Linked DNA regions of Notamacropus eugenii. Each later gene encodes a partner of the first gene's protein in a complex. Links are inferred from orthologs where the notes say so. Each region holds a gene or a part of one and is shown in the gene's direction. Other genes may lie near its edges. The genes, in order: TAF4, TAF6 and TAF3.

Region 1 (10,191 bases):
AGGGAAAATTAGTCTAGGAGAGAAGGAAGATCTCAAGACACAAAGACAAATAAATATTTGGAGGGGTAAAAGGGGCATTGCACAAAGTCATCAACCTCATCCTTTCTTCTAGTTATTGAAATTCCAGTTGAAAAAAGTCAAGATGACTTGGTTGTGGCCCAGAATGAAGTGGATGACCTTGGTATCTTTAATGTCTGACTGAACTCTAAGTTGATATCCAAGATAGTTAAGGAGAGAGTAAGAGTGCTTGTACTTGCTTTTGAGTTCATATCAACTGACCCAGATGAGATATAATCTTTAGCTACTAAAAGATGTGACTGATACGATTGCCAAGTCAATGTCAATAATATTTGATAGATTGAAAATGGGAGATATGTTGTAAGACAGAATGGCAAATGTTATCCCAATTTTTACGAAACAAAGTTTGTGATTGATTTGATTTCTATTTGTAAGGTATATTGAGGCCAAGATCTAGTCTGTTAGGTAGAGAAGTATCTTAAAAAGTTGACTAGTCTTCTGAATAAGGCACTAATGGCCTCATATTAGGTTGTTTAGGAAACTGCCCTAACTTGACCTGTTATTTCACAATGTAAAGTCATTCTCATGTAATATTTCATTTATCACAAATTTGGTTTATTAGTTTTGTCTCCCTAAGGAACTTATTTACTACAGGAAAATCTCCAAATATAGCTGCCTTTTTTCCTAAAAAAATTCTCATCTTTCCCTACTTTATCTAATGGGGTGTTCAGGGAGAATGAGCACCTCTGGCATGAGGGCCTGCAAAGCCTTTTCCAGGGCTGCTCATCTACCTTTGGTGTCCACGTGACTTACCCAACTCTCACCTGTGACTCCAAGAAGCCATAGGGTGACCAGCAGTCATACCTGTCCCTACACAAGGGCTAAACCAGATTGAGGATAACTGACAGGCCTCAAACCTGATGAGTTAGGGGGATGTCTATTCCAAGCATGTGAAGACTTTCCCTCCTGGAATGTATGGATAAAAACAATTTGTTCCAATGACCATGAAGGTTGCTTATTTACTGTTATCCTGCCTGGACCATCACCAGTCATCTTGACTTTTGTCTTGCCACTGGACTAATATGACTCAGGAAGAGAGAGTGAGGTTGATGACTTTGTGCAACTCTGCCTCATTTAAATCCAATTCCTGCACAAGTCATGACCCACGATGTCATTGATCCTCTTCAAAAATGAAGCACAAACAATTGCTTAGTGATGTCAAATGTTTATAGCTGTTCATGGATATTGGTAAAGGTCCTTTATATTTTCTTTTGTTTTATCTGATTTTTTTCCTTATTAAATTTAGGAATATGATTTAAGTTCCAGAAAAGATATTGTCTTGGGTGGATAACTGAATCTTTCTTATGCAAACCAATTTATTTTTAAAAAATAATTTTCTGCATCACATATCTATTTAGATACATTTGATGTGTATGCACACACAATTTAGATTTGTATTCTTGTTCATCTTACTGATTTAGACTTGAGGAGACCACATTGCCAAAGAAAAGTAGACTGAGGCAATTTCCAAGCCATAGGAACTTGGTCTACTAGTGTTTCTTGAAAAAAGAAAGTACCAAGTCCCATTAACAAGTTCATTTTACAATAATTCCACATCCTTGATTATTGTAAATACAAAGAAACAACTTTCCCACCTTCCACCCTCCCCAAGAGCACCTCTTATGGGGCCTACCTAGCAGGGAGGTGCTTAAAATATATTGAAGTTGATTTAGATAATTTGCTTTTAGTGCAAACTTATGAGTCCAATGTTCTTTTCCTTGTATGTGAATGATTTTGTTTTTTGCCTGATAACATATTCAAATGTATAATATCATAGTTGATGATGCCACATTTGGAACCTGGCAAAGAAAGCTTGACAACAACACCATTAGGACGAAGTGCTATATAAAGGTTCATTGGATCAATTTTATTAACTGAAAAATAAGGGAAAGGGCAAAGATTTACTCAAGTTGCGTTTTGTCAGGTAGAAGAAAACTATTAGATATAATTAGTATGCATATCAGGGCTGTATCTTGGCATGATCATAGTACTGAGCATTCCTGGTATTGAAAGGTTAAAGCACTTAAAGATATTTTAAATTTAGCACTCCAGGGCTCAGGAGAAATCCTTTCAAAAATCCTCCAAAACCTTTGGGTTAGTGACTCTCCTTGACCATATAGGTCCTTCTAAAACCCATTTCCAATTCCCACCAATAACCTTTCAATTTAATTTACCTGTATTTATTTAAACACAGTGCTGTGCACCAGTAAGGCACTGGAAGAGATAAAATTTAAGTAGGAAATGTATGCCTCAATGGAGCCTGTAGTTCTGTAGAAGTGCAAGAACCAAACAAAAATCTCCATAATACACCATATTACACAAGTGCATTAATGAAATGCAAAGTAAAAAGTCATGTAGTTTACAAGGGTTGCTACAATCCTCCATGGAGGTGTTGATATTTTAGTTGGAATTTAAAGGATAGACAAGTAATTCCAATAAAAGCAGGGCCTCCCAGACTTTCCCCAGGCATAAATAAGGAAAGGCAGGAAGACTAGCACAAGTCTTCATAAATTTTAGAGAAACCCATTTTACTTTGGAAATGCATGCATAAATACATACTTGGTAGATGAGACAAAATAAATCAAGAACAACGATAAGAGGGTAGGGAATTTATCTAGAATCTCTATGAACCCTTGGATAGAGATGTCTGATACTTCAAGTGTCCGCATTCAGGGTAGCAATCAATGTAAGACCCAAACAGTTACTAATTCCACACAACAGCTCAAGCAATGAAACCACTCACTCTAGAATATAAAGTATTTGTGTTTGGTTTTTTTTTGGGGGGGGGATTACCACATTTTAAACAAAGGAAATAACATTTTTACCAACTTTTCTCCACCCCCAACAAAGCACTAAAACACTTATAATTCTAGTTCTAAGAAACTCTATTACAGTAACACTGAGCAAGGAACAGCAAATGCACAGCTAACTCTTTAGAGCTACCACCATTCATTTAAAAACTAAGGTTCCTCCACAGGAAGAGTGTAGCCACTATTTGACCTTCCATATTTAGACAAAAAGAAACTACCACCCACACAGCTTGCCTGCCCACAGCCCCTCTTTAGCCCCAGAAGCAGGACACATTCCTCCCATTGTAGTTTAATGAAACTAGAGGTTACCATGTAATCACCATTGTTTCCTTCTACGCTACTTTGTCATCCTAAGATGGAAGATCTCATGCTTTTGGAGTTCGTCAGGATTCCGACTTTTTTTTAGAGGAGTAATCAAGGTGATTATTTAAGGTTATATTATTCACTTAGAGATGACTTTTCCACCTCGTTTCTCCCCTGCATTTCCGGTTGCTAGTCGCATCTCCACCAAGAGGTAAGGGAATAAAGTACAACTCATTCTATTAAGCAGCTTGTTCACAGGTCTGTGGTGGAGGGAGATGACAGGCCAAGGTTAAAAAGGTTTTCTTTCTCCATCATGGGTCTCCATTAATACACAGGAGGGTGAGGCGGTATGTAAATAAGTGACATAATCTAGGTGGCAGGCTCCTTACTCTACTCAGTAATTACCTGCGTTTTTAAAGTGAGGAAATCACCCTGAATTATCCCTTCCGCATGAGGATGCGCAGGAGGCACACATGCGGGACGACGCTCGTAAACCTGTGTTTACAGTTTTCCTGCGTGCCGAGATAAGTAAAAAAGGACTGAAAACCAACCTACAGTAACCCCCTGGGGATCGGGGAGTCAGGCTTTATGATCCTTTCAGATGTCACTTCCGATCAAGTTAACCCGAAGACAGTTCAAGTTTGGCCTGCTCCCCCGTCAGGTACATTCATTTCCCTTCGCTGCCTTCTCAGAGCCTCTTTCCGCATCCTTCCCGCCCCGAGGATGCGCCACTGTGGGACCCCCGGCTGGCCGGGAACATCTCCCCTCACCCCCACCCCACTTCCTCTGGAACGCGGGAGGAAAGGCATTGTCGCCTGTGCCAAGTCTAGTCTTCTCCCCGACGCAGCCAAGCCTCCCAGGGCCGCCCAGGCTCTGCTGCGATGCCTCGGTGCCCCCCCCCCCCATCTCTCCCTCCTTCCTTCAACCTGCTCCAGGCTTAGGCTCCTCCTCAGCCCGGCGCGGGGGAGCCCCACACAAACAAGCCGGGAGGCGGTGCAGCCGGGATGACTCTTCCGAAAAGGACTCCCCCCGCCTCCCCCCAAATCTCTCCACCTCTTGAGGGTGTTTCCCCTTCCGAGGAAGGGAAAGGGGTGTGTGTGTTTGGGGGGCGGGCGAGGAGGAGCGGGGTGGGGGGGTGGTTTGCAGACTCCGTGGGGGTCAGTGACGAGAAGGGGGTGGGGAGTTGTCGGCAGCGCCGAGGGGGGCGAGGACACCCGTGAGTGGAAGGGAGAGAGTGAGAGACACCCCCTTCTTGCCTCCACGCCAGCAGCCCCGAGGTCCCGAGCAGGCGGCGGCGTCCCCCCCAAAACAACCCAACAACTGCCTCCTTTTCCGACTCGAGTGACGAGGCCGAGGCGCAGCCCACAGCCTCCCCCGCCCCACTTTCTTCTCTCCTCCCCCAGACGCTTCTTCCCACAGCGCAGCCCTGTTTATTCAGGAGGGCGTCCGACGGCGACCCGAGCAGGGGCTCCGGGGGTGGCGGCGACAAGAGGCGAGGGAAGCTGCGCCGAGCGCGCGGGGTGAAATGGCGGTTGGCTTCGGGGTGTGCGGCCTCAACCGCCGTTCTCCTCGTCCCCCATCCCCCCCATCCCCGTCCCCGCTCCCCCGCCTTCCTTCCCTCCCTCCTCCTTGAGCTCGGGCTGGGCGGGGGTGTCTCAGTTACACGCAGCTGGCAAGCGGCGGCGACGGCACAGGTGCGGGGCGGTGGCGCCCTTCACCCCTCGCTCGCTCCAGCCACACTCAACCCGCAGCCATTTTGGAGCAAGCAAAGACAAAGAGTGAACCACCGCCTGTCGCCGCCGCCGCCCCACACCAACTCCTCCACCCCGCCCCATCTCGTCTTCCTCCCCCGCCCGGTCCGGCTGCGGCGCTCCGCTCCAACCCCTCCGCAGCCAAGCCCCGGGGCCGCCTTCACCGCTCCCCGGGCATCGAGCTACCGCCGCCGCCGCCAGCGGCAAAGGCTCCGCATCCGCCCCTCCCCCCAGCCACCACCATAGCCGAGGTCGTCGCCGCCTCCCTCCCCACCCACCCTCCACACTCTTTCCCCTCCCCCCGCCCTTCGGTCTCCCGACTGCTTCCCCTCTCCACTCTTCAATAACGCTCGCAGCCATTTGCCGTCGCTTTTAAGCGCGCCGGGCAGCCAATCAGGACGGGCTGGAATCCCGGGGCCGCGGTGACGCGCCGCCGTGGCGCGCTTGCGCGGCGGGCGCGGAGGAACCTCCCCGCCTCCCTCCTCCCTGGCGGCCCTCCTCCCCTCCCCGTCCCCGGCTCCCCTCCCCCTCCCCCCTCCCTTCCCCACACAGCCCTCCTCCTCACCCAGTCGCTATTAGCCAAAGCGGCGGAGTAAAAAAAGATGGCGGCGGGTTCGGATCTGCTGGATGAGGTTTTCTTCAACAGCGAGGTGGACGAGAAAGTGGTGAGCGACATGGTGGGCTCTCTGGAGTCCCAGCTGGCGGCCAGCACGGCCCATCACCACCATCACCCTCACAGGACGCCCGAGATCCGGGCCGGAGGCGCCGGGGGGCTGGGGAACCATGTTGTGAGCGGCAGCCCTGGAGGAGCCGGAGTAGTAGGAGCCGCCGCCGCCGCCGCCGCCGGTGCTAATGTCCAGACGGAGAGCAGCAAAATGGGACTGGCCCAGGAGATCACAAAAGCAGGTAGAGCGGCGGCGGCGGGGGGCGGCGGGGGCGGCGGGTCCGGGCCGGGGGAGAGGGAGCCGAGAGGGAGCGAGAGAGGGGAGCCAGGGCCGATCCCCCTCAGCCCTGCCGACCCCCCTCCCCAGAGGGGGGCCTGACACCCTCCCGGGGGCACCCGGCGTGAAGGGGCTACCCGGGCCCGGGGGAGCCCCGGACCCTCCGTGGGCGGGTGCATGGGGGATAAGGAGGCAGAGGGGCAAGGGATGGGGGGTCCAAGACCCCTCCCTGGCTACAGCGAGGGGACCCTGGTGGGGTAGAGGGAAGGGAGAGGGGACCCCCCTTCCCCAGGGTGGTCCAGCCATCCCAGGGGGCGGACGGGGATGGGGTCTGGAGGAGCTGACATCCCGAGCACAAGGTTCTGACACCTCAGGTGTGGGGGGTATCAGTAACTGGGGGACAGGGAGAGCGCTCAGTTCCGAAGGGGGACCCCTCCAGAACTGATGTTTTGCTCCCTCGATTTTTCTCACTCGCCAATTTGTGTCTCCCGTTAATATCTTAGCACGTCTTGGCTGAAGTAATGCCCCCCAGACCTCCTCCCCCTCCCCCGCTCTCTCTTTTTTATTTTATTCTCTCCTTGTTGTTGTTGTTGTTGCAGGGGCCGGAGGAGTGCAAGGGGGTGTTATTAATCACAACACGACCCGGTCCCAGGGTTCAGCTCTGCTGGATGGAACCTCCTCGTCCACCTCCACCAGCAGCAGCAGCACCAGCACCAGCAGCTCCACAGCAGGCTCCGAAGCTGCTGCTGCTGCTCCAGGGGCTGCTGCCATCAGTCAGGGCAAATCGGTGGTCATCAGCAGCACCATGGCAACCGCCTTGTCCTCCAGAAACGGCAAGATCGGTACCACCGCCACGGTGCAAACTTTGAATGGGAGTAACGTCGTGATGAACTCTCACCATTCAGGAAGTGCTGTTGCCTTTGCTGGGACTCCGACTGCTGCTGCTGCTGCTGCACCTGCTGTCACCCTCGTCAACAACGGACCAGGATCTGTGGTGTTGCCGCTGGGGAAGGGAAATGCTGTCAATGCTGTTTTGCCTTCAGCTTCTTCTAACACTGTCATCCAGACTTCTTCTTTCCTCAGCACTGCTGTGTCCTCCTCTTCCTCACCCACCGTTATCTCCTCCTCCAGCATTGGAAGTGCGGGACCTACCGTGGCACTAGTGAGGCCACCAATTCACACAGCAGGACCTGCTGCGGCTTCTGTGGCTGCAGCCACCCAGAATGGGAGCAATACTGTGATCAATTCAACTATCAGTGTGGGGAGTTTGCCTGCTACTGCTGCTGCTTCTGTAGCTACTGTGGGTTCTGGAGTTTCCCTTCAGGCATCCCTTGTGAACAGCCAACCTGGCTCCAACATGCCAGCCACAGCCACCACACAGGTCATCAAATCAGAGTCCCCTAAAACTATAGTGCAGGCAGTGCCTCAGCAGCAAACGTTGACAACCAGTGGCCAGTCCACCGCAGGGGGTAACATGATCATTGGGCAAACTATGCAAGGTGGCATCCCCAATCCTAGTGGGATACCACCTCCTCCTCCAGCTCCTGGGACCCCTACAGGGATGGCTAAAGGCACTGCCAACACAGTGGCACAAAGTCTGCCAAGGACTCCAACAGCTACTACAGGTGGTATCCGAGCAACATTGACTCCTACAGTTTTAGCACCCCGTCTGCCTCAGCCACCTCAGAATCCTACAAATATTCAAAATTTTCAGCTACCCCCAGGTAAGAAAAGCATTGAAGTATTTATTGTGGTGAAAGGCAAATGATCCAGATACTTTAGTTATAAGTCATAGGAAGTTCTTGTTCTCATTTAAAATGGTAAGGCCATTTACCTTTTTTGCCAGTTTTATGAGAAGTGTGTTATGCTGGTTCTTGTGACTGGGACATGCTAAGTAGACCTGCTTTACAGACTTTTGTACTGCTTAAATCTTTGTATTTGCATTTTAAGTCTGTGTTCAGATCTTCCCACCCATAACATCATGGTGTTCTGCTGATGCATATTCCTATTTAATCTTCTTCATTGCATCTTTGACTTTTGCTTAACCTCTGCCCCTGTACGCCCCTGCTGCCAGAGGAAGCAGGCTACTTGCTCTACAGCAGCAGGTATGTCACAGGAGAAAAATTACTTCGCTATGCGAATGTACATTAAAACAATCTTGGATTTCAATTTTTTTTAAAAAATTAGAGTTCTAGATGTAGCCTTGCCCATTAGTAGTTTCTGCAGTCAGGTATGATGAGTCTTTACCTCACCACATATAATTTTTGTGTTTGTCATCAATTGTTAGAGGAGTTCCTCAGATAGGGGAGTATGTGGACCTGGTTTCCAAAGGTGACAGAAAGATAGAATGACACACTACACTCCCTGTTTTTAGGGCTGCTTGATTAAGTCTTTGAAAGCTTTTACTCTTTTCAGGGTATACTTTAAAAAAGTATTTAGATATCAGAATGATATTACAGTTTTTAAGTGAACTGAGTCTAAACTGACTCATAAAAATGAGTCTACAAGGATCACATCATTCAGGGTTAACATTCTAATCCTAAATTGTACTTTAAGTATTTTTTCAATATTCTCAATGTTCTTAATATTTTTCAGTGCATTATTGTTACTGCACAAAAAACACCTAATTAAATTTTACTATTACTGCCTAATGAAATCAATGGTTTGTATATGTCATTCATTTTAGTGGGTCTTAGGGTAGTAAAAGTAATATATTATGAAACTACTATCTAGGACATCTATAGAATGATGTTTTTATTTCAGAAATGCTTTAATATTTGTAGTAGTTTTATGAGTGTCTTTCTGTCAGTCAGTTATGCAATATTATTTTATGGTTCTTAAAGTCAGACAGAAAAACACTGTGAATTGTATATAACATTCTGACATTTTTTCAGAATCCTTAGGCATACAAAAGACCTCACCTGAAATATTTCCTGGTTTTGATTTTGCCTAGAGGTAGTATTTTTAATCTAATATGGTTATTTTATGAGTTAAAAACATTTTCCCTTAAATCTAATCCCTTAGTATGTAGTAATTGTATGTGTAGTAGTAGTAGTAAAATCAGTCATGAAAACTTGGTACTTCACATGTCCCATAGTATTTTCTAAAAATAATGAGTGGCTGCTTCAAAACAATTTCTGTATCAATGAACTGAAAGGTTTCCCTGTGTAATCATTTTGAGGTTAAGAACCAGTGATTTGTAAAACTTCAGACAGGGGTCTTTTTTTATTGGTGAAATCCTGGGGGTAGTTCCAAAGCCACTTAAAAAAAAAAAACAACAAAGTTTTTCTTCTTTCTTTGAACTTAGCTTTGGCATAATAAAAAACCCCAAAGAAAGGGTATTGACATTTTGTGCTGGTGATTACAATAGACATCTGGGGGTATTCCAGAGTAATTAGCCTTAGTTTTTCTCCCTAATTATCTAATAGCAAGTATATTTTTGTTTAATTTTAATCTGTGGAACATAACATAGTTTGTAAAGTTTGCCATAACCTTTTATGTATACCCATTTTCCTAAAAGATTGCCATACAAAAGACCTGCCTGTTTAAGTACTTTTCCCATATCAGTAAGGTCCATCCCTATGGTTTGTAGTTTAGTGCTTTAATTAAAATTGTTATTGTCATTCTTTGAGCAAGAAGGTGCTTCAGATGACTGTAAGATATCTCACTAGTCTTAAAGTGGTTTAATTGAGGTCCTCTTATTAAGAAACTCCTAGTTACTGTATCAGTCAGAATAGTTTTCTTCTCAATATGTCACATTCCTCAAGTGAGATTTCTTTTAAAGGAAAAACTAATATAGGTTATACTTAGAAATACCACTGATTATAGGCCATGTTCTGTTTTTATCTAATCTAAGTTTTTTGGGGAAAAGTAGCCCTATCTTCTGACAATATGGTATACTAGTTTTTAATTGATATTATTAAGCAGTTAAATCAACACCTTGGAAATATGGAACTAATTGGATCACTTTTAGTGAGAACTTCCTCTTTCATTCCTATGAGTGTATTGCTGTTGGATAGGGAAAAGTGATTAGAGGAGGGCTTGCCCTTTTGTTATTCTTTTACTAATGGTTTTGAGCGAGATGTTTATGATTCAGTTTCATTTGTAAACCAGATCTCTCTGGTGCAGATTTGACAGCCAGATAACACTATTTGTTAAATTCTGGGAAAAAGTGAATTTTTTTATTCGTGTGGTTTTTGCAGTATTCCTAATTTTTTTGCACCAGAGAAAAGCCTTAGGTCTGATGTGTGAGTCACAAACACTGGGAGCGTGGCTCTAAGGCAGCATATATCATTTTCTTGATATTTA
Region 2 (10,717 bases), on another chromosome or scaffold:
CCCTCTTCCTTCCCCCAACACCCTCTTCTAGGATACGGGTCCAGCCTGTCTATGCCCCAGTCCCTGGCTGTCCCCATGATCTGCATTTACTGTCTTATTGTGTTCCTTGAGTCCATACCTTACTCTCTGTCCCAGCTCATCTCATCTTTCTGGCATATGACATCTTCTTACCTGCTTCTTGAGGAATGCAACTTCCACACTGGGTTCATCCCACAGCTCCAAAGGGATTCCCAGATCCACCTTCACACCCTTCTGTACCAGGCCTTTCAGGGTTGCCATGGTCTCACTCTGACCCTGGGGTGAGGGGAGATGTAAGAGGGAGGAAAGAGAACTCTGGCAGGGTCAGCCCCCTTTGTCTCTATTTCTCTGACCTCTTCCCTCCTCATCCCCACTACACTAAGATCTTTTCATTGAACCTGAGGGTGGAAATGGAGTACCCACAGCAGAACAAGGGCTGAGACAGAATGGAGAGGGCATGGGACATCCCAGGGGCAGAGGTCTTGACAAAGGATTCTAGGAGGAGTAAGAACAAAGAAATACCTCTGAGCAGAGGGACCACCATGGTGGTTTGTTCCATTAAAAGGCAAACAGGGGGGAGAAGATTTATTTTACCTTGGCATATCTTAGGGAGCCCTTGCGCTCAGCATGGACACTGTAATCCAGAATCTGTTCACATAAGTTCTCAAGGGCCTCTTCCAGCCGAATCTCTCTGTGGGAGAAAGAGATGGGAGACAATGAGAAAGAACAGATAACTCATTGAGAACTGTGGGGCTGAAGGAAGTTAGGGAATGATTTATAGGGTTATGGAAGGGATGAAGCATTAGAGGTACCATGACAGAAAGAAAGTCAAGGGAGACTCACGAAGTGCTGTAGGGAACTTGTCTCTTCCTCTTGCCAGTGTCTAGCACCTGCCCTAGTTCTAGCAACTCCCGAGACCGACTGCTCCGATTCAGCTCCTCCTGAAGCTCCAAGCTCAGTATCTTACAGACTATCGAGGAGAAAACAATTGCCAGAAGTATGTTAAAACAAGATACATAGCCCAGTGCACTTGGGGGCAAGACACTCAGGTTTTAGTTCTGGGCAGCCTGGTGTGATAGACAACGTGCTGGTAGTAAGGAAAATATAGGTTCAAATTCCATCTCACATACTAATTATGTGGCTGGGCATCCACTCAGTCTCAGTTTCCTCCTCTGTAAACTAGGGCTAATACTATCTGCAGTATCCACTTCAAAATTTAAAGTGTTCTACAAAATATCAGTTATGATTATTAATATTAGTAATTAGTCATGTGACCTTGAGCCAATCATTTTACTTGCCTGGGCCTACGCTTCCTAGTGAAACAGAGAGTTGGAAAGAAGTTCACTAAGGTCCATTCCAATTCAAAAAATGTATCAGTCCCTGAAGATGGTTTGTATAAACTAAAAGGTGGGAAGGATAAGGAAGAGCAGGGGAGTCAGTTATTAGACATCGATTGGCATTCACCCTATCCTAGGGTACCTAGAAGTATTACCATATACTGATACCTGAGACCTTTCTTCTTATCCTCTTCTTAGCCCATCCCCAAATTATAGGTAAATCCTTACCTATAACTCCACATAAGATATGCTTCACAAAGACTGATTATCTTTCTCCTCAACTCTGCTCTTTCTTCTGACATCACCATTTCCATCCACGGCACCACCATTCACCTGGCCATCTATGTTCATAACTTCCTCTTTTCCCATCCAATCAGTCACCAGGTCCTTTAACTCCTACCTCTGGGATATCTCTCGAATCCAGTCCATCTATTTTATTCTTACTGATGCCACAAAGTCTCATTCTCACCCACTTGGACTATTGCAATACCTTCGTTATTGGCTTTAATGTCTCTTCTCTCTTCTCTCTTCAATCCATCCTGGGTACAACTACAGGACTCTGACCATCACTATTTAGCATTATTAAAAGCCTACCAGGTACTGTGCTAGGTGCTGGAAATACAAAGATAAAAAGCAAAATAGTTTCTGTCCCCAAGGAGCCTACAAAGGTATGCAGAAGAATAAATACATACAGTAAAATAAACAACTAGATGGGGGTGGGCGCTAGCACCTGGGGGATAAGGGAATGTTGTAAAGAGAGTGGCTCTGAGCCAGAATGCCTCAAGAGGCAACGGTGAGGAGGGAATATATTCCAGGTCTGGGGAGAGGGTAATAAAATGGAAGATAGACAACATGTACTTTCAAGCTTTTACTGATTCAGTTATTCCCTATCCCTGGAATGCATGTTATAAAGGGAAGGGAATAAACATTTACATACTGCCTATTAGGTGCCAGACACTGTGCTAAGTGCTTCACAAATATGATCTCGTTTGATCCTGTGATATAGGCAAAAGAAATATTGGTTTTACTATACTGTTTTCACTCCACTTATACTATTTGAGTGACTGGCTAGTATAGTGAGGAGAACATAGGACATGGAATCAAGACAGATTCAAGTTCAAATTCAGTGTCAGATACTTACTGGCTGTGTGACCTCATCCAAGTCACTTAGCCTCTGTCTGTCTCAGTTTCCTAATTTGTAAAATATCACCTCCCAAATCTGTTGTAAGGATAAAATGAGATATTTGTAAAGCACTTTGTAAATAGTAACACCATATAAATGCTACTTATTATTATTAATATCAGTAATACCTTTAGCATCCTACTCTGAAGCTTCATGGTGGTTCTGGGCTCTTGAAGACCATGCTGGTAAAGTACAGCCTTGGTAACAGATGATATAAGTTTGTTATCCAAGAACTAGCCTAAGTGAGAAGAGGCCATAATGTTGACTATCAGGAGAAGTATTCCCCCTCCCCCCCATAACTTCTTATGAAGACCACTGATTAAAGGGGTGTGTTGGGGGGAGTGGGTTGCCTTTTGCATAAAGTGAAGGGCCACACTTATGAAATGAGATCTTCTGAAACAATGTATTACATCAGTAACACTGAGTTCATCAGGGAAAAAGATGCTAGCTGTGTAGCCACAGGCAAATCAGTACGGGATGAAGTCCTTAGTGCTCACAACTTCTGCACAGTCCAAAACTGTTTGGGAGTATCCTTCCCAAACATTCCCCAGTTAGGCAACATGACAACTACCTTTGTTCTTCCTTGCTAGTTTATGGGCATCAAGGAGTGGCTGAATCACCTTCTCCTTCCAAGGCTCCTTTAATTTGGAAGCTTCCAAGCTGGGGTGGGACAGGGCAGGGTGTTCACAACTGCTGCCATGCGAATTAAAAGATTTCTAAGGTCCTTTCCAGCTCTAATATGATTCTTTAAACCCCACTTTCAGCTTGGTAGGCCTGAATTACAGTTTATATCAGTTTTAAGGCATGGGCTCAGAGGCACCAGAGTTTTACATTTGAAAAAACTGTGATTTTGTCCAGGTGGGAAATACTCCCTTTATCAAAGCAGAACACAACCCCTTTGTACCTCAGTAGTTGATCTTTATGAGTTGCTGGGTTGTAAAAAATCATTACTGGGCCAACCTGGTAATAAACTTCTCCCAATTTATCTGGGCTGGTCCTTTGATGAAAGGCTAAGAGTTCTTTCCTGGATGTGATTGAAGCCTTTGGACAACAAGTCCCCCTCCTCCTAGCTCAAAGTGAATGTAAATAGTAAATAGAAACTGTTTCTCTTTTGGCCAGGAATCCCAAGGGTCTTCCCCTCCCAGTTTGGTTTTCTTTTGTTTTTTGAGAATCTGAAAAGACTTTAGCCTAAAAAGGCCAGTGTCTCTCATTGCATCCTGGGCCACCTCCAGTCCTCTGGATGGACAGATGGCTCTGGAGGACAAAGTGAGGCTGCTGACCTTGCACAGCCCTCCCTCACTCAAATCAAAGTCAACTGCAAGTCATGTCATCATCTCCCTCTGAGAAGAAAAGGCAAATACAACAACTTGAAGCCTTTCTGGTTTGGTAGAGCTTCCTACATTTTAAATTCCACCTGCATAGCCTTCAAAAATCCATCACTGCTCCAATAAGACACTAGAACTGGGTTTCGGTGGAAGCTGGAGGCTGGAGTGGCGAATTTCCCTGTTCATGAACCTAAGGACCACAGGGACCACTTGCGCCAGGCTGTGCGACCCTGGGGAAGTCATTCAACCCTGTTTGCCTCAGTTTTCTCATCTGTAAAATGAGGTGGAGAAGAAAATGGCAAACCACTCCAGTATCTTTGTCAAGAAAACCCTAAATAGGGTCACGACTGAACAACAAAGCAGTGTCAGTATTTATTTAGAGCTTTAGTTGACCAAGTCCTTTATGTCTACTTAGCCTCACAACAGCCCGGACAAGGTAATACGACCTTTACCATCACCATTTTACAGGTAAGGAGAGGAGGGCGCAAGGGAACCCTAAGGGGCTCTGGTCAGCAAGTGACGGAGCCTACATTCCCCCCCAGGTCCAATCCCCCTAATTCCCAGAGTCCGGCAGTGACGGGAAGGGGAATACCAGCCACGCGGCTCCATAGGCGGCATGCGGACCGTGCCCATTTTGCGGATGGGTAAACAAGCTCAGAGAGGAGAAGCGCTTTGCCAGGGGCCACACAGCGAGGATCAGTCTCCATCCCGCCCCCGCTTTTCCCTCTACAAACGTCGTGCCCCTCCCTGTCTCAGAGCCCATCCGAGCTGGCCCGGGAGCACAGGGCGCATCCTCGGTGGATGCCCAGGGTACCTTCGCATTTGCTGGGTAGGTGCTCCTCCTCCTCCTCCTCTTCTTTTTCCTTTGGCTTCCCACAACAGCTCTTCAATACAAGCAGGAGGAAGCAAAACAGCAGCAGCTGTCGTCGCTGCCACCCCTGTTCCATGTTCAGCTACCGAGCACCAACCTCGGACAGCGACGACAAAGGAACGATTTTTTAAAAAGCCAGGTTGCAAGTAAACTGGCCCTTTAAATCCAGCCTGGCATGTCGCGAGTACGCGCTTTACCAAGCTGAGGGTGAAGGACCGCGCAGACTCAGAGCGAACGCGCTTGGACTCCTCCCCCCTCCGCTTCCCCCCCCCCCCCCTTAGGTTCACCTACTGCGCAGGCGCCGCGCAAGCGCCAGCACTGTTTGTCACCGTCCAGGTCCTAGATGTGGCGAAGCAGGACGAAAAGAAGTGGGGAAGCGGCTAAGGCAGAGAGCGGAGTATATTCCTTTTGTCCATGGGAATGTGGAAGAGACCCTTTTGTGGAAGCTGTTGGCAGAGGAAGATTTTTCCGGGTTGAGGCGGCGGGCTGAAGGGTCTTTGACCTGGCTCTGCCAGGACCTGTGAGGAAGTCTAAGGTACTGCTAGGACCCGCCGAAGAGGCAGAGGTTTGAGATGGTGGCTCGCGCCACACGAGCTGCTGTTGGGAGCCGGTGAGGAACCGGAGACAGCACGGGTGGGGGAGCCGGACGTCGGGAGGCATGTCTTCAGGGGCTCGATAGGTGAGCGGCAAGTGGGTATAAGGGGAGGAAAGCGTCCCCAGAGCTTACTGGAGGCTCCCCGTAGGATAGTCTGCTGACTACCGGGACTTTCTGCGCCTGCGCGGGAAGGGGGAGCCGGGGTATTTTTAAATTTTCTATAGGAGTTGTGGAGAGGGAGAGCGATCCTTTTGGAGAATTGGCGAGTTGGAGCGGGCATCCCTTGTGGCAGGTACGAGGAAAATAAAATTTTGGCAAAATTGTATCCTGGCGCCGTGGATAGAGAACTGGCGGGAAGCAGGAAGACCTGTATTCAAGTCCTGCCCACGAAGAATGCTGGCTGTGATCCTGGGCCAGTGCCCTAGGTAACTTTATAAGAGTATCGATGGCAGAGAGAGTTCCACACGCAGTAAATTCACAGGGGAAGTCTTGGTAATAGCCAGAGATCCGATGGAAGAGTGTGTCTCATTCAGGTAGAATTTCTAAATTTCTTCTTTTCCACTCATGACCTTTGTGAGAAAGTGAGGGAGGTGAATTTTCTCATTTCTAATTTGGGATTAGATGTGGTCATTATAACCATATAGCGCTCCAAAAAAGAAAGTGGATTTGGACGGACCGTTTTGTGTTGCGGACAGAGCATGCAAGTGAGTGTGCTCATTTGCCCTCCCTAAAGGTGTGAAACTAGTAGCCGGGGCATAGCTTGCGTTTGTACCTTTTCCTGTCTTATTTGCTATAGACCACCAAGAGATTTAAAGTATGTACTTTAAAAACTAGGGAATCCTGAGCTGTAGGGGTGTTGGTTAATTATGGGGCAAAAATGGTTATTGTTTGAACATTTGGGAAATATATGGGATATTCACCTAAAGTGGGTGTTAAGTCTGGCTAAGGGGACTCAGCCCTTTTATAGGAAGAGTTGTTGAAAGAAAAGGCTAAACCTTAGGCTTTGGGTTTGTTGAAATGATCCTGCTCCCCGTTCTCCAGTCTGGGAGGCAGTAGGTCTCACAGCAGAGGCCCCAAAAGAGCACCCCTGGGAAAGCTGAGAGTCCTAGGGTAGGGACTCTCTGAAAGAGTGCAGACCTTAGCCTTGTTTAGCTGTGTTCAGCTAAATTCAGTGCTAGAAACAATAGCTGCTCATTGAGGAGCTTCCTGTTCCCAGTCAGGAGCAAACTCAAGGTAGGAGTGGAGCTGCCTTTCCCGGGCAGCTGCCAAGCCCATCGGTGGGTAGAGTGGTGGAAGGACCTAAGTGCTCAGCTGTGCTGAAGGATGAGTTGTGTGGACTCTCAGTTTCTGCTCACTTTTCCCACGAGGTATCGTGGTTCAAATACAGGCTCAGACACTACCTGTGTCACCTCTTTTTGTCTGTTTCTTGTGCTGTGAAGTAGGGATAGGAGAATCAAATAAGATACCGTTTGTAAATCACAATGCCTGACGCGTAGTAGGAGCTTAATAAATTCTTCCTTCCACCTTTTCACCTGCGTTTTCCTGTGTGTGTAGGAAGTGTTTTGTAGCTACTTGGTTTTACAATGTCAGCTTAGTAAATGTCTTTGCTTTCACCTAATTGTAAGCCCACTGGTGAGAGTTTCTGGGCTAGGGTTTAGGGTTGTGAGCTTGGGGTGCCAGGCCACAGAGTAGTGTACTCTTTGGACTCAACATAGCCAGTCATCCCTCCAAGGAACCAACCTTAAAGTGCAAGTTGGGGATAAGGTAGCTCCTGAAGGAGGGGCTATTCATTGAGGCTTTGTCCAGGTTATATTTGGATCCCTTGTACATTCTGAGACTATCTTTCTTGGATGCCCTAATATTGCAAGAGAAAAAAGATCATATTCTTTTGTTTTAGGTTGTAATTGTACAATCATTTTTCTGTTATGTTTCCTTTCAAAGAAACTGACCCAATTTGTAGATGAGAATTTAGCCACACAGAAGTTTAGTGCTAATGATATCTGTTGTCTTACTCTATCCATTAAGAATGTGAAAGCAGAAACATAATAGTATGCAGGTTGCTTGGAATATTGATTTGCCTAGAGCAGTAGTGTCAAACTCAAATAGAAACAGTTGATTAAATTGTATATAAGTATCCCTGTGGGCCAAATATTGATTTAATTTTAAAGTGGTATGTTTGACACCTCTGGCCTACGTAGAGCACATTGTAGAAGTACATTCATGTTAATTTTTAAAATGATACTTTTGAACAGAGCAGATCTGGATGTTTGCCTTATTGAGGCATGAGTCTGGACAACTTGTCTACAGATCCTTTATTGGACTACAGGTAAATAGGAATAAGATTTTCCTGACAGCCTAGGAACCCTGAGTAATCCACCTTAAAAAGTTAACACCTTCTTAAAAGCCTGGGTGGGGTTCTTTTGGAATGATTTGATTTCCTTTTTAAGAAACTCATTTGCCTGTCCAAGTGAAGGAGGGTCAGTTCAGACTACTGCATTTGGAATGCTGTATGTGTTGCAGGGACCTGTTGGAAATATTAAAATTTTTATGAGTTGGGGACTCCTAAAAGTTGCTGACTCGTAGGGGACTCTTGGGAGTGGGGGTTCAGAAGACAGAGTGTCATAAATAATTGGAGATGTATTGGGGAAAAACAGTTTCTCTGGGAAGACAAAATAACTTATTTGTAAATTCATTTAAATTCTATAAGCATTTATTAAGCACCTACTCTGCCAGTTAAGGGCAAATAGGTTAGCACAGTGTATTGAGTGCCAGCCCTGGAGTCAGGAGGATCTGAGTTCAAATGTTGCCTCTGGGCAAGTCACTTTAACTCTGTTTGCCTCTTCTGCCTCATCCTCATCTGTAAAATGAGGTGGAAAGAAAAATGGCAAACCACTCCAGTAACTTTGTCAAGAAGACCCCAAACGAAGGGCAGCTAGGTGGTGCAGTAGATAGAGAACCAGCCCTGGTGTCAGAAGGACCCAAGTTCACATCTGGCCTCAGAAACTTCACACTTAGTAACTGTGAGCCCGGCCTAATCACCTCATCCTGATTGCCTCCCACCACCCTCCATAAATATAAGAAAACCCCAAATGGGGTCATGAAGACTTGGATGTGGGCAAATTGACTAAACAGCAGCAAGAAACTATGCCAGGTACTGTGCTCGGTGCCAGGGAAAGAAATATCAAAATATGAAAAGGAGTGTTTGGGATGATATCAAGGTTATTAGGTAGAAGCTCAGGATGAAGAGCCTCCTTTTAAAAATTTTTTAATTTAAATTTTTATTTAATTTTTTAAGTGAAATACTGGGACTACTGAAAAGATTGGGGTGTGTGTGTGTGTGTGTGTGTGTGTGTGTGTGTGTGTGTGTGTGTGTAATGATGACATGACTTTCCAATGATTTGGACCAGGTCCTCCATGTACTTAGGTTGAATAATTTTAACTGGGTCATTATTGTACCACAAGGGGCAGCTAGGTGGTTCACTGGATAGAGCACCAGTACAGGAGTCAGGAGGACCTGAATGACATGACTTTGTTTTGAGTCCGGGAGGGCTGTGCAGGTCACCAGCCTCACTTCCTCCTCCAGAGCCATCTGAATCCAGTGACCAGTTATTCATCAGGATGACTGGAGATGACCCAGGATGAGGCAGTTGGGGTTGAGTGACTTGCCCAAGGTCACACAGCTAGTGAGTGTCAAATGTCTGAGGTGAGATTTGAACTCAGGTCCTCCTGACTCCTGTACTGGTGCTCTAGCCACTGCATCACCTAGCTGCCCCCTGTGGTACAATAATGTCTCAGTTAAAATTATTCAGCCTAAGTATATGGAGGACCTAATCCAAACATGGACTTGGAGGTAGGATAGATTCATTGGAATGTAAGTTCCTTGAGAGATTATGTTGGAAATAGTTGAGCAGCAATAGAACAGTGGGGGGCACTGATTCAAAGGTTGATAGGAGTACTTTTAACACTGTAGTCTAGTTTTAAAAGGAGGAGAATGAGGATGACCAGGCAAGGATGGACGACTGAAGGTGGAGGTGAGACTAGGAGGTTAGGGTGAGAGAGATTTGTTATGGATTATGGAGTCAGTAAATATTTATTGGTGTGTAGGTGGTCACATCTGACTTAGGCTGGTACCAGGTTATTATCTCTCAGGTTATTTATCTTGTATAAGAACAAGTCCTATTGCCTTAAGAAGGGGAAACCACTTCAGAGGTTCAACCTCTCTCCATACTGATGAGAAACTTAATGGATTAGCTAGTAAGTTTATATAGTTGTAATCAGGGATGGAAAACCTGCAACCTTGAGGCCATATCACCAGTCTCTCTCCTCTTTATTCTTTGGGTCTCTTCCCACCATTCTAAGGTTATCTCTTTGTCTCTGCACCTCCTCCCCTCCCCCAATCTCAATTTAAATTTCTCCATCTCTTTTGTAGAACACTGCCTCTAGAGAGGAGATTGGGAGTGGTGCCATATTTCACTATGGCAGAAGAAAAGAAACTCAAGTTAAGCAACACTGTGTTGCCCTCGGAGTCAATGAAAGTTGTGGCAGAGTCCATGGGCATTGCTCAAATGCCTGAAGAGACCTGCCAGCTATTAACAGATGAAGTTAGCTACCGTATTAAGGAGATTGCACAGGTGAGCCTTGGTTTCTCAGAAGCCAAGTGTGTTTTTGTTTGTTTTTTCCTTCCTAACACACTGAACTTGAGTCTCAAATCTTGATGATTTGGAACCCTTAAATTTTCCACTCCCAAATATTGCATTGAATTGGCTGTCTTCTCTTCTCTGACCCTGGTTTTCTCCTTTCTATAGGATGCCCTGAAATTTATGCATATGGGGAAGCGACAGAAGCTCACAACAAGTGATATAGACTATGCCCTGAAGTTGAAGAATGTTGAGGTACACAGGTCGAGGAGTTGGGTGTGGGAGGTGGAGGTGGTGGTAGAGAAACCAGGTTACATGGGAAAATAAGTTACTTGGGGCAAAAAAGCTCCACTACTTTAATTTTACAGTTTTCCCTCCTTCCCTGTCTCATCCTAAGTCTCTCTTTTTGATCTGCTTCTCTACCTCAGCCTCTGTATGGGTTCCATGCCCAGGAATTCATCCCATTCCGGTTTGCCTCAGGTGGGGGCCGGGAACTTTATTTCTATGAAGAGAAAGAGGTTGATCTGAGTGACATCATTAACACTCCCCTGCCCCGTGTCCCACTTGATGTCTGCCTCAAAGGTAGGAAAGGGGTAGAAGATGTTTAGAAGCATTATAAGGAGACTTATAAAAGAGAAGGAGGGGTGGGGAGACTTGATGAAGTTGAAGGACACCCTGGGGAGAACTGGAGGTTGTGGCAGGAGTGGACACTATTATCAAGTCATACTCCAATGTTTTCTTGTGCTATGGT
Region 3 (10,564 bases), on another chromosome or scaffold:
ATAGGGAGCTACTGGAGTCTACTCCAGATTTGTCAGATTTGTGTTTTTAGGAAGATAAATTTGAGAGCTCAATGGAGGATGGATTGTGGTGGGGAGAAACTTGAAGCAGGGGGACTTTAATTAGGATGGTGGTGGTGTTAGGGGAGAAAAGGGGGCATCCAAGAGATATTACAAAGGTGGAAATGGGTCCCAAGTTTAGGTAACTGGGAGAATGGTGGTAGTATCTTTGACGTAAAAGGAAGTCAGGAAAAGGAGGTTTGTAAGGTAAGACCATGAATTCAGTTTTGGACATATTGAGTTTAAGATGTCTAAAGGTTAGTTGGAAATGTGAAGCTAGAGGATGGGAAAGAAGTTACAGCTGGTACTTAATAAATGCTTGTTGATTTATTTTGCTGAACTGCTTGTTTTCCTCTTTCATTTCAAACTCTTTATTACAGAGAATGACTACCTGGGGAGAGGGGAGTGAAGGTTATATTTGGACATGAAAGTGATAGAAAAACAAAAGATTTTTATGTAAAAGTTTTAAAAAGAAAATTTCAATTGAAAGAATTTATACTGACAGAGGTTCTATTAATTTTATTCCTTCTTCTTTCCCTTTCCCCAGCCTCTACACTGCTTCCTCTTCTCTCTTCTGCGGCACAAAATGAGGGTCAAAGTGTGTGATCTCACATGGAAGATTTGCCCTAGTTAGAATGCCAAAGCTAGAATATGCCATAGAGATAATCTAATCCAGTCTTCCCACCTTACAGATGAGTAAACTGAGTATTAAAAGGGTGGGATGATTTTCTCACATAAGAAAGTAGTAAGTCTTCTGATTGCAAATCCAAGTCTGTTTTAACTATACCACACTGGGAAGCAAATCCAGATGTCTTCACTCCAAACCCTTCAACTAAACTGCCTTATATGGTCTGTGGATTGAAGAATTTGAACATTGTTATTATAGATGATAAATTTATAATTAGGTGCTTGTGAAAGCATCATTCATCAGATCTCTCATAAGTCACTGTGTTTTATAATTAATGTCTTAGCAAAGGAAGCTTAATAGCTGAAGCACTGTGACTTTGCTCTTATCAAACTCTTCCTCAGATCTCTTGGCTTCTCAGTTTGTGAAAGTGAGCATAAATAACTTCCTAAAGAAGGGATGATTTAAAATGACAAGTTTAGACCTTAAAGGAAGGAAACAGGAAACAAGCATCTATTAGCCAGGCACTGTGCTAATCACCTTACAAATATTGTCTCATTTGGCCCTCACAACACCTGTGGGAGGTAGGTTCCATTATTATTATCCCCATATTACAAGTGAGGAAACAGATAGAGGCAAAGTGACTTGCCCAGGGTAATACAGCTAGTGTCTGAGACTGGATTTAAACTCAATTCTTTCTGATTTCAGGCCCAGCACTCTATCCATTGCACTACCCAGCTGCCTCTGCATAGCTAGGGATCTTAAAGGTTGTCTAGTCCAGGCTCTTTTCTGGGAGAGGACCTTGAAGGGAAAGACTTTGGGAAGAAGGCAACGTGTAGAAAAGCTGGTGCCTCCATATGCCCTAGATTCCCAGTTTCCTATGCTACAGCCTTTGGAGAGTTTCCTCTTGGATGAGATTGGGGACTCTCTCTCAGTGCAGATACCACTCTCAGTGGGAAAGGATATATAATCTGCATATTGTCCAGGATATTCTAACCTATATGACTTCTCTGATTTCTGTTTGCTATTGGCTTTGACAAATGGGTTCTATTTGCCACATACTATCATGATGGCCACTGTTTATCATTTGGTGGAAAGGGAGTCAAGCTTTTAGACATAGTTTGGAGCATTCCTTTCCCATTAAGGGATATCTATTAGAAGAGTTACTTGAACAATCATTTCCTCTAGACTAACAATATTTGAGGTAGCTAGGTGGCACAGTATACAGAATGCTGGACCTTGAGTTAGGAAGACTCATGTCCCTGAGTTTGAATCTGGTCTCAGACACTTACTGGCCCTGGGCAAGTCACTTAACCCTGTTTGTACCAGTTTCACTATTTGTAAAATGATCTGGAGAAGGACATCGCAAACCACTTTGTCAAGAAAAATCTCAAATGGGGTCATGAAGAATTAGACACAACTGAACAACAAAAGTAATATTTAGGAAGGCAGTTAGATAAGTCTACTTCAATCCCCTCTCTGAGAAGAGCAGAGTGAGTCATGAACGTGCCACCAATTTTCTGCTCTCCTCCAGATAAGAATCAAAGTTTCCTTTGAAGAGAGGTGGTTGAGAGTCCAGAGATAGGTCTTCACAGCTCCCTGCAAGGAGCGTTTAAAAAAATCCATGTGGAATACATATAACCTACATGGGCAGCACACATATTCCTACATAAGATAGTTTATAAGGAAGGGTACTCACAGTTGGGGTAATCAGGAAAGGCTTCAATCAGAAGATGGTACTTGAGCTACATTGAAAAGGATGAGAAGCATTCTAGGAGGTGAAGGGGAAGAAGTGAAATTCCAGGCATGCTGTATGTATCCAGTGTAAATAATCCCAGATGGGAGATGGAGTGTCATTTGTAAGAGAAAGAAGCCGACTTTGGCTGAATCAAACTGTATAGTAAGGGCAGCAATGTCCAGTGAGATCATAAAGACAGGCTGGGACTAGGAGGTATAAAGTCTTTAAAAGCTAAAGAGAAGAGTTTACATTTTATCCTATAGGCAATAAGAAGTCACTGATTGATCACTTGACTGAATAAGGGAATGACATGGTCAGATATGCACTTAGGAAAATTACTTTGGCAGCGGTTTGTAGGATGTACAGGAGTGGTAAGACACTTGAGGCAGGGAGACACATTAGGAAGCTTTTGCAATAATCTTGGAGAAGTGATGAAGGCCAGAATTAAAGTTCTTGTGTGAATGAAGAGAAGGGATTGGATTAATCAACAGTAGATCTGGCAATGAATTGGATATGTAGGGCAAGGAAATGATAGGAATCCAGGATAATTTCAAGATTTCAAATGTGTGAGACTGGAAGGATGGTCGTAATTTTTACAGAAATTAGGAAATTTGAAAGAAGGGTGGAGGTTTTTTAGGAAAGATAATGAGTCTAGGTTTGCATGTTGAGTTTAAGATGTCTCTGGGATATCTGGTTTGAAATGTCTCATGGGCAATTAATGATGCAGGACTCAAGTTCAGGGGAAAGACCAGGACTAGATATACAGTATAGATCTGTGAGTCATCTGCAGAGATGATAATGACTGATTATATAGAGAGAATATAGAGAAGATGGCTGAGGGCAGATAATGAACCAGCAAAGGCTAGTGAGAAGGGGGGAAACAAAAAGAGCAGTGCTTCGAAAATCCAGAGGAGGGAACCGTCAGGAGAGGGGGGGTCAACAGTGTCAAAGGCAGCAGATAGATTCAGTATATTTTCCAAATCTTCATCTCTAAAAGCCAGGGCATAAACAGACAATGTCCATTTGTCCAATAATCACCAAGGAACTCTGAGGTTCAGGGGTCCTCAGTTTTTTAAACCTCTATATCTCTCTTATTGGTCCATGCAAATGAGTAGATAAGAAAAAGAAACTGGCAGTCCTATGGTCTTGCTCATCTGCTTTACTGACCTTTTCATATGCAAATTATCTACTCAAAGCCTCACTGGTTTTACTAGATATGCCTAAACCTAACTCCAAGCTTTACATACTTATAAGGTACAAAATGATTCACTCCCAGCTGGAAGGAGCTCATCTTTTACTAGGTGTAAATGCAATCTGAATGGACCCTTAAATCTGTCTTTGTTACTTGCCCCTAACATCCTGAAAATTTGCCAGTCTTAATGAAAGAGGGATGTTTTTACACCTCCATTTCTAAAGTGGCTGCAAACCCTTCTTCATTTCAGCCCTGGAATTTACACCTCCTAAGTGTCCTCAGTCCCTGTGGGCCTCACCTTCAGATTGCTTGGCTCTTCCCAGAATCTCTGTGGAAGGAGGCTGCCCAAGCCTGGCTCAATTTGGCTCCCCTTCCACATTTTTTTCAAGTTTTCAGCTTGGTTTTATGTGTAGCCTACCCTACCTCCATTAGAATGTTAACTCTTTGAGAAGAGGGTCTTTATTTTTGCTTATATTTAAATTCCCAGCACTGAACTAAATGACCAGTCACAAAGTAAGTGCTAAAATAAATGCTTGTAGGACTGAGTGATTGTGAGTTGAGTATGGAATTGTTCAGATTGGTGATTTCATCACCTTAATGTAGATCCATAACTCATTTGTAATGTATGGTCTTGGAAATTTGTCTTGGGGCACCAAGCAGAGACTCCCTTCAAGAAGTTTACAATCTAATGGGGGAAGATAACATGTAAAACATGTATGTAAGGGGCTATATACAGGATAAATAGGAAATACAGGCATATCTCTGAGAGATATTGACGGTTTGGTACCAGACCATCACAATAAAAAGTCATGTTTACACTTTACTGTAGTCTATTAATTGTGCAATAGTATTATGTGTAAAAAATGTACACACCTTAATTAAAAATACTTCATTGCTGCAAAATCCTAACCATCACTTGAGCCTTCAGTGAGTCTTAATCTTTTTCCTGTAGATGGATGCTGACTGATCCGAGTGGTGGTTGTTGAAGACTGGGGTGGCAATTTCTTAAAATAAGACAATGATGAAGTTGGCTACACCAGTTGATTCTTTCCCCAACGGTTTCTCGATAGCACATGATGCTTGTTTGATAGCATTTTATCCACAGTAGAACTTCTTTCAAAATTGTAGCCAATCCTCAGCTGCTTTATCAGCTACGTTTATGTAATATTCTTCAGTACTGTAGTATCTCCGGGAATGGAGGCCCCAGAAAAGAGAGAGAGGGCGGTCAGAGCACAGGCAACATTTATCCATCCAGTATTCGTGGTGTATCCAAACAATTACAAGAGTAACACCAAAGATTACTGATCGCAGATCACCCTAACAGGTATCATAATAACAGTAATGAAGTTACCAAAATGTAACACACAGATAATACATAGGAGCGGGCGCTGTTGAAAACCCTGGTGCTGAGAGAGGAAAGGTTGTCATAGACCTTCACTTTGTCAAAAACGTAGTACCCAGCGAAGTTCAATGAAGCAAAGCTCCATAACGCGAGGCATGCCTGTCACTGAAAGAGGGCAGGCGCTGGAATTAGGAGGAGCTGGGGAAGGATTCCTGCGGCAAGGGGACCTAAAAGCCAGAAGCCAGCTGGCAGAGAGGAGGAAGGGAAAAGAGCTTTCCAGGCACGGGCGACAGCCGGAAAAACAACGCTCAGACCCTGGAGATGGAGCCGGGAGACCTGCGTTACTGGAGGCTATGGTGTAACGAAGACCGGGAAGGTTGGAGGGCACGTGTGCGCGTGAGATGTTTGCTAACTGGAGAAAACTAACTGCCCCGAACAGCAGCTTCATAAACACACGCTTATCTGACACGCCGAGGGCGCACACCACCATCTCCGTCCCGTAACTGCTGGGAGGGATGCTCGGACCCGAGCCTCGGAGGCAGCCTCGGACCTCCCGGGCAGCCGCGTCCTTACGTGGGTTCTCTGGCCGAGCGCAAAGTCCCTTCCCTCCCCTCCCCTGCATTTGCCCCAACAGAAAGCGTGGGTGGGGATCCGAGGTTAGAAAATGGCCAGGAGAGACTTTATTGTGGCCCCCAGCAGGGCGGCAGCGCGGAGGGAAGAGCCGGACGAATCGCGAAGCTCCAAGTCCATGTGAGTGTCCGCCCCGGCAGGCCATGGGACCAGGGCGACCGCCGGAATCATCCATGGGGCCGAGGGCGGGGTGGGAACTGCTACTTATCGATGCTTTCGGCAACAGTTTAGTGCTGCCTCGTCGGAGAGACCGCCCCCAAACGGAGGCGGGGCGAATCCAAAATGGCTGCTCTCAGGCTGGCGCGCCCGGCGGAGCGGAGGCTCTGAACTAGACGCCGGGAGTCCGGGAAACGGTTTCCCCTGCGTGGTGGCTGTGGAGGGGAGTCCCGGACGATGGCCCAGGAGGCCCGCTGAAGCCGGAAGCACGACGGGGAGGAGGGCGGCGGGCGAGGACGGAGGCGGCGCGGGAGTCCGTGGAGCGGGATGTGCGAGAGCTACTCGCGGTCGCTGCTGCGGGTGTCGGTGGCGCAGATCTGCCAGGCGCTGGGCTGGGACTCGGTGCAGCTCAGCGCCTGCCACCTCCTCACGGACGTCCTACAGCGGTACCTGCAGCAGCTGGGCCGGGGCTGCCACCGCTACTCGGAGCTGTGTGAGTCGAGGGGCCGGGGCGGGAGGGTGGCCGCTGACCCTTGCCCTCTGCCCACGACTCCGCTCTTCTCCCGGGCTGACCTCCGACCCCTGAATCTCATCCCCCGCGCTCTTCCCGGCCTGTTCCCCCGGAACATTTCTTCGGCTCAGGGGAGGGGGCATCCCTCTTAGCTTGCCGACTTTCCGCCGGCATCCCCCGGACGTCCCGACCGCCCGCTGCCCGCCGCAGATGCGCCCCTTAGTGTTCTTTCCTGACCTTCCTCGGCGCCCCGACCCTTCCAAGGCCGCCCCTCGGGCGAGCCCTTTGCCCCCGGACCGGCGCTTGTCCCCGGCGCCCCGTCTGCGGACGGGCTGTTGGGCAGGGTCTTGACCAGCACTGCCACTTCCTTCCCTTTTCTCCTCCTTTCACGGACACGTTGCTGCGTGCACGCTAGGTCTGTGGAGCTTGCCCCTCTCCCTCCATGCCTTAGCCTCTGTCTGACGTGTTTATCTTCATCCAACGAGGAGGGTTTTTTTACCTTCCTTTCTTCTGGTGGTTCTTAGGGTGTAGATCAAGGTAAGTTTATCAGGGGCCTCCAAAGTATGGTGCAGCTCATTCTTCAAGTGTTGTCATTAAGTTCATATCTAACTCTAGTCTTTTGTTTCTGGCATAAGTTAACAATTGTTATTAAATACGTGCTACGGGGCCTTTTGCTGTCAAAATTAGCCTGAAAAAATACTGAGAAATAGCTTTTTGTGGCACCTTAAACTCCTGACAACTCACTACTATAACTTTTGATGTTACTTTCGTCAGTCAACTAGCAATTACTAAGTCATTACGGTGGCCAGGTACTCAGGTACTTTAGTTAGTCAGCTTGGATTTATATAAGATGACTGCTATGCCAAGTACATTAGATCATCCCTGCTCTCAGAAACTCACAGTCTAACGAGAGAGACAACGTGAAAAGAAGTATATACAAACAAATTATATACAGGATAAATTGGGGGTAACTTCTGAGGAAAGGCCCTAAGACTGGGAAAGAGACTTGAAAGAAACCAGTGAGATAAAGAGGGAGAAGTTGCAGGCCTTGGGGGGTGGGAGGGGGCAGCCAGTGAAAATGTTTGGAATTGAGAGATGAGTAGTATCCAGGGCAGAGCCAGGAGGCCAGTGTCACAGAATCAAAGATGGTGTTAGAAAGGTAGAAGGAGTCAGGTTATGTAAGACAAACAGTTTTTTATTATTTCAACCTGAAGGCAGTAGGGAGCCTTTAGAGTTTATTGAATAGGAGAAGGGATAATGTGATCAGAGCTGTGTTTTTAAAAGGAAGATCAATTTGACAGCTGAGTTAAGCATGGATTGGAGTAGAGAAAAACCTGAAGCAAAGAGATTGACCAGTAGTGTATTGCAGCAGTGTGTGTGTGTGTGTGTGTGTGTGTGTGTGTGTGTGTGTGTCTGCGTGTCTGCATCTGTGTGTGTGTCTGTGTCTGTGTGTGTCCTTGGCAACAACAGGGAAGTTAAGAAGAGAGTAGCTCTTGGGGGAGAAGAAAATAATGAGTTCAGTTTTGGACATATTATGTTTAATATGTATACAAGATATCCACTTTGATATATCCATTAAGACAGCTGGACACTTTAGAGATTGGAGAGTTAAAGTTTGGAAAGAACTTAAGACTGAATAAGTTGATCTGATCAGAGATGATTCTTGAATCCATGGGGATGGATGAGATCATCAAACTGAATTGTGTAGAAAGAAAAAAAGAGGGATCAAGACAGAGTATTGGGGTGGGGGGACACAGAGTTGGCAGGTGTGAACTGGTCATAGATGTAGCAAAAGGAGACTAAGAAGCTCAGAAAGGTTGGAGGAGAATCAGGACAGATGATTGTCATGAAAACCTAGAGGTAAGAAAATGTCAAGAAGACTGTGATAGACAATGTCAGCGACTGTAGAGCCTTCAAGAAGAATGAGGATTAAGAGAAGACCTTTAGATTTGCTAATTAAGAAATGATTGCTAACTTTGGAGAGAGCGGATTCAGTTGAATTATGATGTTGGAAAACAGACTTGAGCCAGACTTTTAGAAAGGTGAGAAGAGAGTGGGGAGAAAGGAAATGGAAGCAACTATTGTAGATGACCTTTTCAAGGAGTTTAACCTCAAAACGGAAGAGAGATATGGGACATTAGCTAGTGGGGATCGACGGCTCCAGTGAGGGTTTTTTGAGGTTAGGGGAGGTATGGGCTTATTTATTGTTAGTAGGGATGTAGTCAGTAGACAAGGAGAGACTGAAGATTAGTGAGAATATAGGTATGATAGAGAGGATACTCCGCAGGAGAAGAAAGGATGCAGGGGGATCACCTGTGGATATAGAGAGGTTTGCCTTGGCAGGGAGGACTGCCTCTTCATGTGAGTCAATGAAAAGGAGTAAATTTTGTCAGAAAAGCATGTGAATGATGTGAGATGAGGAAGAGGGGAGAAGAGGGAGCACTTAGTAAAGGGCCTCAGTTTTTTCAGTGAAATGTGAGGCAAAGTTCTCTGGAGAGGGTGGGACTGGGGGAGCCTTGGGAAGTTTTAAGAAGGATATAAAGGTTTGGAAAAAGTGCTGTGGGATAATGAATGGTTTAGGGAGGTATGAATGGATTTCTTTGCCAGAGTCAGGGCCCAATTGAGATTATGTAACAGATCTGTAGTGGACCCAGTCAGCATGGTTTCGTGATTTTTTGTGTGGCTTCATTGTGCAGCATGTGAATAGGAACAAAGACAGTGGATGGTAGGAGTAATCTAGGCTGAGGGTTAGCAGCGCAAGATTGATGGTGACAAGAGGATAAGGGACTTTAGAGACTTTCGAATAGAGTTGAACTGGTTCACCAAGGACTCATCATTGGGAAGGGAACTCTCCTGAGTGTTGCTAGTGCAGCAGTGGTGGCCTGGTAAATAACTAAAGGGTTGAAGGATTGGATGCCATGGTAAGGATGAAGAATGGAGTTTGGGGTTTTAAGGCCACAGGACAAGAAGAATAACAATAGACTGATCAGATGGGGAATGTGTAAGAAGAATACTTGTGGGTAATGGTAACATCAAGGGTATAACCATCTGTGTGTAATTGAGGGGTGTGGTGGAGGGAGTAGGTCATGGGAAATGAGTGAGTTGAGGAACTCTGGTAGGTTTAGGTATTTGAGGAAGTATCAGTATGTATGTTGAAGTCCCTTTGTATAAGGGCAAGAATTGGGGAGGTGAGAAAGATTGTGAGCCAGGCACTGAAATTGTAGAGAAGAAGAGAATGCAGTGGAGGTTGGTAGATAACAGCTACAGGGTGATAAATGTAGATTGGTCATGCTCAAAGGAGGAAAGGTTATTGAATAATGGATGGTAGAGGAAGAACATGGTAGTGGCACTGGGAAGTAAGGAGCATTCCAACTCCCCTGCCTGGACCAGAGAGTGAAAGGCATGAGGTTAGTGAAAGGGCAGGTTAGGTAAGGACCTCAGAGACTGTGTGGTGAAGTTCTCACATTTTACAGATGAGGAAATTGAGACTCAGAAAGGTTATTACTTATGTATAGACACACGTATCTATCATGTATATGTGGTTTACCTAGATATATACATATTTATGCATGCATGTATTCATGTGGATCTCCTAGTTCAATTAAATTTGACAAATTGCTCATTTTTTGTTAAGTATTTAAGTACTCATTTCATTTTTGTTAAGCAGTAACCTTTGACCCTTACTCTCCATCATACTTGGCAGTCTTTTATATCAAACTGAGCCTGTGGTATATTCCTTCACTGAGACTTTTTATGTCATTTAAAAAATTTTTCTTTTTTATTATGAATCTAATCATAGATAGAAACAAATGTTTCAATATAAAAGAACAAAAAGAGGATTCTATATAAAACTAAGCTTCTGTTATGTGGTTTTTTAAAAAATATATTAAATTTAATGAGGTCGCAACGAAATTTTGCAATTGGTACTGTTATGAACTTTTTCTTCCTGTTTATTTTTGAGTGTTTTATTGATTTTTAAAATTTTTTTACATCTTCATCATAGACTGATTATTGAATCATAACTATAAAGATGGAAAAGACTTCAGATGATACCTAGTCTGAATCTCCCATTTTATGAAAGAGGAAACTGAGGCTCAGGGTGGTTAAGCGATTTGCATGAGATCATACAGGCAGTCAGCATGAGCTGGGATATGAATCCTGGTCCTTTGAGTTCAGAGCCAGTTATTTTTCCATTTCCAAGTTCAAGTGTTCATAAGCTTATAACAAATTAAGATAATCAAGCAAAATTCATCAGCACATTGGTCATGTTTGGACATGTTCATCTCTAATTCATCACCTCTCAGCTAAGAGGA

Evidence for each region.
Region 2: TAF4 (region 1) and TAF6 share a complex: the UniProt entries of both Homo sapiens proteins name them as parts of the TFIID basal transcription factor complex. The link is inferred for Notamacropus eugenii from reciprocal best matches to the Homo sapiens genes TAF4 and TAF6.
Region 3: TAF4 (region 1) and TAF3 share a complex: the UniProt entries of both Homo sapiens proteins name them as parts of the TFIID basal transcription factor complex. The link is inferred for Notamacropus eugenii from reciprocal best matches to the Homo sapiens genes TAF4 and TAF3.

The regions. Positions count from the first base shown.
Region 1 is NC_092872.1:501,251,529-501,261,719, forward strand, and holds the start of TAF4 (transcription initiation factor TFIID subunit 4), read left to right. Parts: upstream 1-5,416; 5' UTR 5,417-5,544; coding exon 5,545-5,848; intron 5,849-6,482; coding exon 6,483-7,607; intron 7,608-10,191. UniProt on the Homo sapiens protein: The TFIID basal transcription factor complex plays a major role in the initiation of RNA polymerase II (Pol II)-dependent transcription.
Region 2 is NC_092873.1:80,656,054-80,666,770, forward strand, and holds the start of TAF6 (transcription initiation factor TFIID subunit 6), read left to right. Parts: upstream 1-5,563; 5' UTR 5,564-5,722; coding exon 5,723-5,754; exon of another isoform or gene 5,755-5,839; coding exon of another isoform or gene 5,840-5,862; intron 5,863-9,758; coding exon 9,759-9,960; intron 9,961-10,134; coding exon 10,135-10,221; intron 10,222-10,394; coding exon 10,395-10,548; intron 10,549-10,717. Other genes in the region: CNPY4 (protein canopy homolog 4), read right to left, coding at 172-294, 613-709, 862-988, 4,678-4,810. UniProt on the Homo sapiens protein: The TFIID basal transcription factor complex plays a major role in the initiation of RNA polymerase II (Pol II)-dependent transcription.
Region 3 is NC_092874.1:175,816,430-175,826,993, reverse strand, and holds the start of TAF3 (transcription initiation factor TFIID subunit 3), read left to right. Parts: upstream 1-6,067; coding exon 6,068-6,233; intron 6,234-10,564. UniProt on the Homo sapiens protein: The TFIID basal transcription factor complex plays a major role in the initiation of RNA polymerase II (Pol II)-dependent transcription.